Linked DNA regions of Drosophila melanogaster. The protein of the gene in region 1 interacts with the protein of each later gene in a pairwise test. Each region holds a gene or a part of one and is shown on either strand. Other genes may lie near its edges.

Region 1 (4,117 bases):
TTCCACGCCGCAGCACGGAATTTTTATGGAATTTTTCTCGCTGTGTAGCTGATTAATGAAACCGTTGGCATAGGTCATGTGTGCCTTTGTCTGCTCAATGTATTCATGATAAATGGCCCCTCAACTTGACATTGAGCCACTAAAATATGCTAGCTCACTTCTTTTTCTCATGTATTCATCCACATATATATATATACATTTTTTTTTGTGTCGCCGACACTTTTGTTTTGTTTACAAACAAGTTTCTGTGGCCAACGAACTCTGGCCAATGGATGCTGGCCCAATTGCAGGCCGCTATATTTTTATTTTTTGGCAGTGGCACTTCCGCAATCCGCGACGCGGCGAGATTTCAATGTCATGACCAAGCGCGACTTAACCGATTTTTGTCTCGACTTTTCAGCCGAAGGCTTTCCCAAGTGCAAACGGGACGCGAACTTCGACAAATGCCTGGTGGATGCCGTCAATGTGGCGATACAGCAGCTGAAGGCGGGTGAGTAATCACACCGATTTGGTTGCAGACCTGGAGTCATCCTCTCACCAATTCCATTGCAGGCAATAGGGAATTTGGCATCCCGCCCCTCGAACCGCTGACCGTAAAGAAACTCGTTATAGACGCCGGCAATGCGCCAATAAATCTGCGCCAGGCCTTGAAGAATGTGAAGGTGCACGACATGATCTCCACCAGCAAGATCCAGCGGTACAGGTGGGTTATCACGATTAAAATATTTATTAATGAAATTAAATGATATAACATCACAATGTCATATCAACTAAAGAAGTTATAAATATATGATGAATATATGACCTCCTAAATTTCAGAACCGATCTGGATAAGCACTTGATTATCTGTGATAGCCGAACGGATCGCATAGAGATGATTGGCGACTACGAGATGTCCGGCCGCATCCTTCTGCTGCCCATCACGGGACATGGAAAGGCCAATGTCACGCTGATCAACACCAAGATCGAGCATCGCCTGATCGGCGAACCCTTTGAGAAGGATGGCGTCAAGTACATGCGACTAAAGGACTACCGGGTGTCCTTCGATCCCAAGAGGGTGTACATGAACTTCGAGAATCTATTCAACGACAAAACTCTGTCGGATGGTATGAATCGATTCCTTAACGAAAACTGGGAGACGGTGTTCAACGAACTAAAGGTGGGATATGCCAAGAGTTTCGGCATCATCTTCAGGGAGCTGTCCAACAAACTGTTCGAGAAAGTGCCCTTCGATAATATATTCTTAAGTTAAGTGCTTAAACAGCTTTCAATTACGTACCTATTAGGTAATGCTTAATTTATGTTACTACATAGTTAATAAAGGTCTTAAACGATACAAATCTGTTTTATTTATTGCGATATACCCTATGATAACTAGTCATCAACTTATTCAGGGGCAAAGTAAATATTTAACATATATTAACAACACTTTAGTTGGTTTGTTTAGGGCTTTAACCTTTCACACCTCTTAATTATTCGCTTCCCTTTTTATTGCTTGTAAACAAGATAATTCGAAGAATTTGCTGCCTGTAAACAGAAAAATCGGTTTGCTTATCTGAAAAGTGAGAAGTCAAGGTTGCAATGAAATTCTTTAATGCAATGCAAGGGTGTAAAAATTTATATTATATAGTCAACAGTTTTTAGTTTTGAGAAAACAAACAAATAGCTTAAGGTTAATTTAAAAAAAACAGTTGAAGGCTTAACATATATAAGCATTTTTAATCAATAAAAAATCAAAAAATATTTCAAAACTAAATTTCTTCTTCTTTCTTAATTAAAATAACCGTTAAGTATGTAGTGTGACCAGCAGCACAAATGAATGCATTTTCGACCTTAGCGCTTTGGTATTCTCTGCGAGTGTGTGGCTGTGCCCACTGCAGTGCCAGCTTTATTTGTTGGTCAATTTGTTTAAAACAATTTAGAAACCGTGCAAAGAACTCCACCGCCGGCAACCACATAGACCTTAAAGCCAGCCTGGATGGCAGAGAAATCGCTAGCCATGGATGGCACGGTGCCGGAGGCCAAGTACCAGAAATTGGCCACAGAATACTCAAAGGTAGGATTCCGCCCCAAATCGACAGCAACAGTTAACGCCCATTAATCCAATTAATCCCCCAAAAATGAACCCCAAATAGCTGCGGGCACAAGCGACGGTGCTAAAGAAGGCGGTGCTGGAGGAGCAGTCCAAGGAGGCCAGTCTGCGGGAGCAACTGCAGCAGTACGCCACCTCGTTGCGCCGTACGGAGCAGGAGGTGGACTCGCTGGGCTTTCGCAACAAGCAGCTGGAGTCGCGAGTTTCGCAGCTGCAGCAGGAAATCTCGGTGCACGAGCAGCCCAAAAAGAAGGACAAGGATTCTGGCGGCAGGCGGGGCGTGCAGAGCAATAGCCGCCCAGATGCCGATCCATCATTGGATGCCGCTCAGGAAGCCCTCATCTTCGAGGAACTGCAGAAGAAAATCATGGAGAATGCGCAGCTGACGTCATTGGTAAGGCCAGGGGGGATGAAACTTAAAATTGGGTATGAGTTATGGCTCGAATGACTATGCACAGATTGACGACAAGCAAAGGGATCTGCTGCTGCACACGGAGCGCATAGCATCGTTGGAACAGAAGCTGGAGAAACGCATCGGCGATCAGAACGAACTGGAGAAGCGACTCAGGAAGGAGGTGGAAACGCTGCAGCACAGGAACAGCGAGCTGGAAACAAAGCTGGTTGATGCGGCCAGCATGGTAATATTGAGATCTCTCTTTAAATATTTACCCAAAGATTCGCGTGCTTTCAGCTTGGCAGCGAGGACGCACTGAGCGCCACCGGCAGCGATACTACTCCTCTACACAATCTCCAGCAGCAGTCGAATAGCAACCAACTCACCTCCGAGGATCGCATTGCGCTGCTCGAGAAGGAGGCGGCGCATTGGAGGGCTCAATTCGAAGTGGCCAAGCTGCATCAAGCATTTGTCTCGAACCCCAGCAAGGATCTCAGCACGTGCAGCTGCAGCACGGCGGCGGCGGGCGTCACCGTTCGACCGGCAGAGTCGGAGGCGAAAGGCAGCCAGCGGGCGCGGGATTCGCTGCAGGATCCCCCCGAACCGCCCACCAAGGAGCAGCTCATCTACAGTGTGTTCAGCAAGAAGTTCGAGGATCTGATGCGACTGAAAGTGCAAGCGGAATCCAAGTTGCGATCCTACGAGCTGGAGGTTCAGCACCTGCAAAACTGCCTGGAGAACGCAACGCACGAACTTAAGGCCAAGGACGATCAGTTGGCCAGTTTGGGTGGAGCCCTGCAAATGCTCGAAGAGGAGTTGGTGAGTTGTGCCTGCAGTTTTGTGCTCTTAGAACCAAGTGACATCTCGGATTTCCTTAGACTACGACGCGTATTAACTACGAGGAGCAAATCAGCGTGCTGACGGAGCAGGTCATCAGCTTGAGTGACCAGCTGGCCGCCTGCAAATGAGCATGGACAGCGGCGCGCATCCCGCCCAGCTGCTTTACTGTATATTGTTGTAAAATAACTAACTGGGAACGCCCGCTCCCCCTCTACCCTGTTTTGTTATTGTCCACCCTCGACGTGTATATAACTGAACATTCTATGTGTATTAAATAATTCTCTAAAGTTTAAAGTTTACAATTTGATTGAGAAGGAGGAGCCGCAGGAGCAGCCCTGTTCCGCCAGCGGATTGGCCACCATCCGGAAACCGGCGCGTATTAGTTCGCTATGGTAGTCCACGGTGGCGCCGCTGCAGTACTCCAGCGAGACTGTATCGATCACCACCTTGGCCTCAGCCTCGCCAAACTGTCGGTCATCCTCGTTCAGCTGCTTATCCAAATCGAATTTGTACTGAAAGCCGGAGCATCCGCCTCCTTCGACGGTCACACGCAGGAAAGATCCATCCACGCAGATCTCACGGAGCCGTTTCAAGCAGCTCTCGCTCACCTGGACACTAAGTTCGGGATTCGCGGATGTGGAAGCGGTTGCATGCCGCATTAGGATTAGATTTCTATGGAAGATCAAGCATTTATTGTGGGATTTGTCACGCAATTTTTCCTAGCTTATTTCACCTTTGCAATCCGCTCCTGGCCACTTGTCGCAGTAGGAACGCCATAATTTTACGATTTC
Region 2 (6,187 bases), 9.2 Mb from region 1:
TACAGGCAATGGCCAGCGAGAATGCCGCTCGCAACAAGGAGGAGCTGCAGTGGCGTCGTGAGCGGGCAAACTTTATCTGCCACCTGGAGGGCCTCAAAAAAAGGAATGCCCAGCTGGCCTTCGACCTGAAGGCGGTGATCGATGAGAAGGAGGAGCTGATAACCGAGCGGGATGCCTACAAGTGCAAGGCACACCGCCTAAATCATGAACTCTTTGTGGCCCTCAGGGCGAAGAAAACGCATCCAAGGGTGAGTTAACTGATGCTATATAGTACTTACTTGATAGTTATTGATTTTCCAGCTCCTGGACATCGATGGTGTTTTGCTGGAGAACAAGTACCTGCATGAACGTGTGAAGATCCAAGACAGCGAACTGGAGCTCACCAAACAGAGCATCAATAAGTACAAGGTACTGGTATTAGTTAAGACTTATTACCATTTTATTTATTTATATTTAAATCATTCAGACAATGTTGGATGCAAAACGAAAGAAGGGAATTGTAAAACTTGGCGGTGGGAGCACAAATGAGGACACCATTCTAAGCCCCCGGCAAGGTGAGTAATTATATGGTGGCCACCTCTTTCATGCCTTTCTAATTTGTTTGTACCCTAGTGAAAACAATCCTCGAGAGTGGCATTGAGCTGCCTCAGAAAACCGAGAGCTTAAGCGATCTAAAATCCTTGTGTCTGGCCCTGCTGGACAATCTCAACGACAAGAACTTGGCCCTGACGCACCAAAAGAAGACCAACAAGTAGGAAAATCCAGCTGAAAGTTGATATATATTTCATAAACCCATATTTCCTGCAGAATACTGGCTGGCAAAATGACGGAGCTGGAGCAGCGGTGGCAACAACTCCTCTCCGGAAACGATGACAACGCAGAGGAGCAGGAGGAGGACGTGGAATATGGTTATGCGCCTTCGCAGCTGCTCCTCAATGGCTATTGTGCCGCCATGGTAGATGACGCCGACATCAGCAGCACTCCGTCCATTGAGCCAGATAACGAAGGCGTCGCCATTACAGCGGATCATGAAGATTCAAAGAAGCACAAGTCCGTTGAGGCTCTGCATTCCGACGATGGAATGTCCTCGCTTTCAACGGAGTCCGTGGATTCGTCTGTGTACGGTGCAGATGTGCAGCCCGATGACTTCCAAAAGTCTTCATCCGCCACAACAGATTCGGGCAACTGTGGATTGAGCAGCCGCTGCAACGGCACGCCACGAATATCCAGTGCAGTGGCACGGGAACGTATGGAGGATCTGAAGGACCTGCCGCCTCACCTGGCCACTCTGGTCCAGAAAGCACTTCACGATCTGGACATGCGGGACTACGAGGCTATGGTGACGATACGAGCAGAGAATCTGGCGGCTATTCCTTAGAGAAAAACTAGTTCAATTGAGGACTCCCAAAGAAATGGATGAAACCATATCTCAGTGTTGACAAAAGATATAATACATATATATATTACCGCAACAGCGTACAATAAAACCAGATTATATAAAATAAATCACTTTATTCAATCGATATTGCGTTGAAACTGGATATGTACAATAACTATAGCATACAGTTTTAAAAGACGCGCCCAAGTTATCGATAAATAATATGCGGAGTGTTGCATACCGTTAGCATAAACACACTCTCACACACTCTTATTTCTGGGTATACATTTTCTGATAAGAATGCAATAAATATCCCGACTGGTTGGAGTAATTTCGAGTTTTTGAATTAAAAATGCCTTAAGAAAAGTTTTTAATGAGCCATGTAGAGTTAACACCAGTGCCACATATCCTGGGAATGGAGCACCAATCAAAAGTCATCATCAAGCGGCCCAAATCAGGCCAATTCTAGTCGGAAAGTCGTTGCAGCCGCCCATTGCCACCATGTCGAATGATGTGCAGGTCGCCCGGGTGGCCAAGATAGCTACCGATGTGCCGCGTCGCAGTGGCAAGCAGCGTGACTCCAGCGGATTCCAGGGCAAGCACTCCGGCAGCGCGGCTGGCGAGGATTTCGAGTACGTCTTCGGTAGCATTTCGCCGCGCGGTGGAGGACCCGGTGGCAGGCACTTGGTGGGATCCTCCGACCTGGACTCTCCGGAGCACACGCAGCGGGACACCACCGAGAGTGACAACAACATATCCAGCTGCTCCACGCTAGACATTGTCAACAAAGTGAGTAATGATGCCCGCACTGAGAGAAATAACTAGATCTTAAATCAAAAAAATCAATATATTAATTTGCAATGATACATTGGTACTAAACATGATCAAGTTCATTTTAAATTAATTTTTAAAATGATCACAAAATATTTAAAAATACCTCATTATTGTGTAGTTTAAAATAAGAAACGCAGAATTTTCAATCATTGGTTTTCAAAGTGTTTCGGGCTTTAAATTCGGTTGGCGTCCAGTGCGCAGATGCGTGTGGAAGGCTGAGGGTCAAGTTGCAGCGGCGGAGAGCGCGGATGCATCCGCGGTCGGATGACGACGTAATCGCCAGTCAAAATTTTCCACTGGACCATGATTTCGGAGCAACTGCTTCCGCGCAGCTTGAGCTGCCTGTGCTGCAGCGATACGCCATCGGTGCCCAACGACAAGAGACGCAGTTGGGAGTATACGCTGATGGCTCATCCTCTGGCCAGACGGCCCATAAACGTGATGACCCCAAGAATAACCACTTAGAAAGCTCTAATCCGCCTCTTTTCTTTTGATTCACCTCCAGGTTGAGCAACTGTCGGTACAACAGCTAGAAAACCGGGTGCGGGATCTAACGCAGCGTCTGCAGCAGGCGGAAAGACAGCTCACTGAGAGCAACACAGAGCGGGAAATATGCCACAAGCGCTTGGAGGTTGTCAGCCAGGCCCACGAGTGTCGCATCACAGAGATGCACTGTGTCATCGCCGAGTTAAGCAAGAAATTGCGCAGTAAGCAGGACCACGTTATCATGGAGGAGCAGGAGCCCGACGGCAGCGGTGCGTAGCAGTTTCAAATGAGGGAAACAAACCCCTAACCGACAGTCTTGTTTTCAGAACTCAGCTTTCAGGAGGGTTCAGTGTACAATTCCGAGCTTAACCTCACCAATCCTGATGCCGAATGTCAAACAGAACCACTGGAAGACTTCGAGGGCGCCTGCAGTACCACCAGCGTGGGTAACGTTGCCCACAAACCGCCGGAACTGAGCCATAAGGGACAAGTGGAGGCACTGCAGGAGGAAGTTCTGCACTTGAGAGCTCGAATCGCCCTCCTCCAGTCCGAGATTTCCACCAAGGATGCTGCTGTGGTCGAGGAACAGACCAAAGTCGCCTTCGACTGCGAATCGGAAGTCAACGAGTGCGGACAGCGACTGAATGATTTGAATGGTAATATAAATAATCCTGATGATAAAAGAATGGTTACACATTTAGATGCTTTCAGTTTGCACTTCCTTGACAAGTCCGCAAAAACGCATTCCAGCGGTACCGAAAATGGCTGAACGGGTTAAGTTGCGGTGCGCCAGCAAACATGAATCCGGAGAAGATCCATCCCAAGATACTTCATTGAGCAACGAGGTGTGTTGACCAAAACTTTATTCAGAGAATACATTTCAACCCATACAACCCATAATTTTAAGCAAATTAATCTGGTCGAACATTTGGTGTCGGAGCTAAAGGAGCAAAATCTATATATGGAGAACTTTATGGAGCCCCTACATTTGAGCAAAGACTTGGAGCGACTGCAACGACGTGTTGAACAATTGGAGATGCGAAACACCATGCTGGCACTGACGCTAGACGAATGCAAGGAGCACACTGAGCATCTGTATCTGCTATGCGGAAAGTACGAGTCCAATGCGGTTGCTCTTCAGTTGGCGCTTAATTGCAGTGATCGCGCCATCGAGGCCTACGACGTAATGTTGGCTCTGCTCGAAAGCAAGTAAGTACAATCACCATAAGACGCGGGTTGTTGTCCCTATTTCACAATTCATCACTTCCAGGTTGGCACTGCTGGGGGAGAAATCAGTGGCAGCGGAAGAGAGTCGACGATCGGTGGAGGCGGTGGCCAGGCACCTGCTAGCCCGTTTGGATAGCGAGAAAAACGTTTGTGAGAACAGCCTGGGACCGTGGCAACACAACATCAACCTGGGCCCAGAGGATGCCCCAAAAACTGGCCGCCCGTGGTGTGCCGACGACGACAACCGCCTGCGTTACCACGTCTCCAAGCTGAAGGGACGTCGTTCCAATGTCCAGCATACCATTGTCAGTTTGGAATCACCCTTCAGCGACATATACGAAAGAAAGCGCCTGGCTTTGGAAAAGGAGCACGAACTTCGGAGCGCGGACAAGAAGTCACCCATTGACTTGGAGACAGCAGTGATTATGCAAGAAATACTCGAGCTGCGGGATTCGAATTTGCAGCTGAAGACAAAAATGGAAGAGGCCGAGCAGGAACGGCAGAACGCCAACGAACGAGTGGGCATACTCCACGAAGCCCTAAAGCAGCTACAGGCAAACAACCGGGTCTCGTATTCGGAGGCGGAGCATGCGGCTCTCACAGAGCAGCAGTTGGTGGAGGCCTTAACTCGAGAAACGGAGCTCAAGGGTCGCATACAGACGCTATTGGCAAATGTAACAGCTTCGCAGAAGGCCTTCGACGAAAAATACGAGCAACTGCATCAGAACGTGCGTGAACTGCAGAAATCCAACCAGTAAGATTCGTTTTATTTTGACTGTTTCATACATAATTTCTTCATATTTCCCTTTTAGCAATCTGGGCCAAATGTTAGATCACACCAAGCGCAAGTACCAGCTGCGGGTGAGGAAGCTAGAGCAGAAGATTGTTGACCTGCGGCTGGACTACGAGCAAGGCCATAACCATGTTCCTGAGACTACTCTGTAGGAAACGCATGACGACCTTCCAGGAGGACTGAGCAACTGGGCGTGGAGCGGGCGCGCTTGTCACATATCCCGCAAAAGATCTTTCCCTCTCGATCATATCGCTTATTTTACCTTTAATGCAATGACCACCCGCCCAGCAGTCGCCGTGGATCCGCCATGACCAAGACAGTATCACGAATGTGCCATGCGACTTAATTGCAGTCGGCTGGGGCTTGGGCGGTGTCCCTGCCTCGCAGATAAGGCTGCAGTAACTACATACTCAAATACATACATATTCAGAGGTGCCATGAGCAAGGCTCCACCAACCTATCCATAGATCCGTGGGATTGGAGCATCCGTCTATGGGCCACAAGCAATTACATATACACACATACGAATAGACAAACTAAGGAGTTATTCAAGACGCATACACGGGATCCTATATTTATACAATGTATTCGCATTTTGCTTGTTATATGATTCAATATGTATTTAAAACTGTACAAAATATAAAACGTCTACTAAAACTCGATAAAATTCACGAATTTGAAATTGGCTCCAATAATTAATCGATAAGCTAATGAAACTAACTTAAGCATCCATCACCATTTCGTGTAGTGTTGCAAATCACCAGAATCAAGTATATGAGTACTTGTGAAATAAAAATGTTTTGAAAATTTAACTTAATTTACTTAAAATGAGTGCCACAGATGCATCTACAGCCGATAGTGGCGCTAAACGAAAATCTTCTGAAGATATCACACACAATTGCAACGCAAATTTTGGCGCAGAAAACGGCCTAAGAAAGCGCGTAAAATCGGAGGAGCCTGTGGCGTCCATTAAAGATGAAACAAATCCTGAAGTTCCTATGAAAATAAAAGCTGAGCCAGTGGAGAATGCAGATGAGCCCACAAGCACTACTCCTGCGATCAAGATTAAAGCCGAACCAGCGGACAATGGAAACTCACCTGCAGCTGCGATGGTAAAAACCGAGCCCACTAATAGCAATGCACAGGACGCCGCCGACGAGTCTACCGTATCTTCAAGCAGTATTAGGACTTCTTGTCGCTTCGGCATACGATGCTACAGGTGATTCACACTAACCAACTCCCATATTACCAACTAAAAATATACCTTTTTCCAATGACAGGCGAAATCCAGCTCATCGTAGTGCAGAAGCTCATCCGGGGGATCAGGATTACCGGCGACCAAACTTTCCAGCGCCACCCCTCGGAACTCCAGCTTGTCCTTTCGGTAACGCATGCTATCGCCGTAACCCAGTTCACTTCCAGGATTACTCCCATCCTGCGGATTGTAAGTAGAAGGCTTGGCATACTTC

What was found.
Region 2: the proteins of CG6607 (region 1) and CG34404 interact in a two-hybrid assay, tested with the Drosophila melanogaster proteins (2 studies listed by BioGRID).

Annotation. Positions count from the first base shown.
Region 1 is NT_033777.3:24,526,199-24,530,315, forward strand, and holds CG6607 (uncharacterized protein), read left to right. Parts: upstream 1-1,848; 5' UTR 1,849-1,978; coding exon 1,979-2,056; intron 2,057-2,135; coding exon 2,136-2,486; intron 2,487-2,550; coding exon 2,551-2,730; intron 2,731-2,783; coding exon 2,784-3,305; intron 3,306-3,364; coding exon 3,365-3,454; 3' UTR 3,455-3,617; downstream 3,618-4,117. Other genes in the region: Jhbp12 (juvenile hormone binding protein 12), read left to right, coding at 401-490, 553-703, 820-1,252; CG13623 (uncharacterized protein), read right to left, coding at 3,623-3,998, 4,060-4,103.
Region 2 is NT_033777.3:15,363,127-15,369,313, reverse strand, and holds CG34404 (uncharacterized protein), read left to right. Parts: upstream 1-1,648; 5' UTR 1,649-1,879; coding exon 1,880-2,167; intron 2,168-2,491; exon of another isoform or gene 2,492-2,515; coding exon of another isoform or gene 2,516-2,650; exon of another isoform or gene 2,651-2,717; coding exon 2,718-2,967; intron 2,968-3,024; coding exon 3,025-3,354; intron 3,355-3,409; coding exon 3,410-3,543; intron 3,544-3,605; coding exon 3,606-3,907; intron 3,908-3,968; coding exon 3,969-4,679; intron 4,680-4,737; coding exon 4,738-4,870; 3' UTR 4,871-5,381; downstream 5,382-6,187. Other genes in the region: CG14868 (uncharacterized protein), read left to right, coding at 1-248, 301-408, 467-554, 613-751, 808-1,378; CG6171 (uncharacterized protein), read left to right, coding at 5,546-5,937, 5,999-6,162.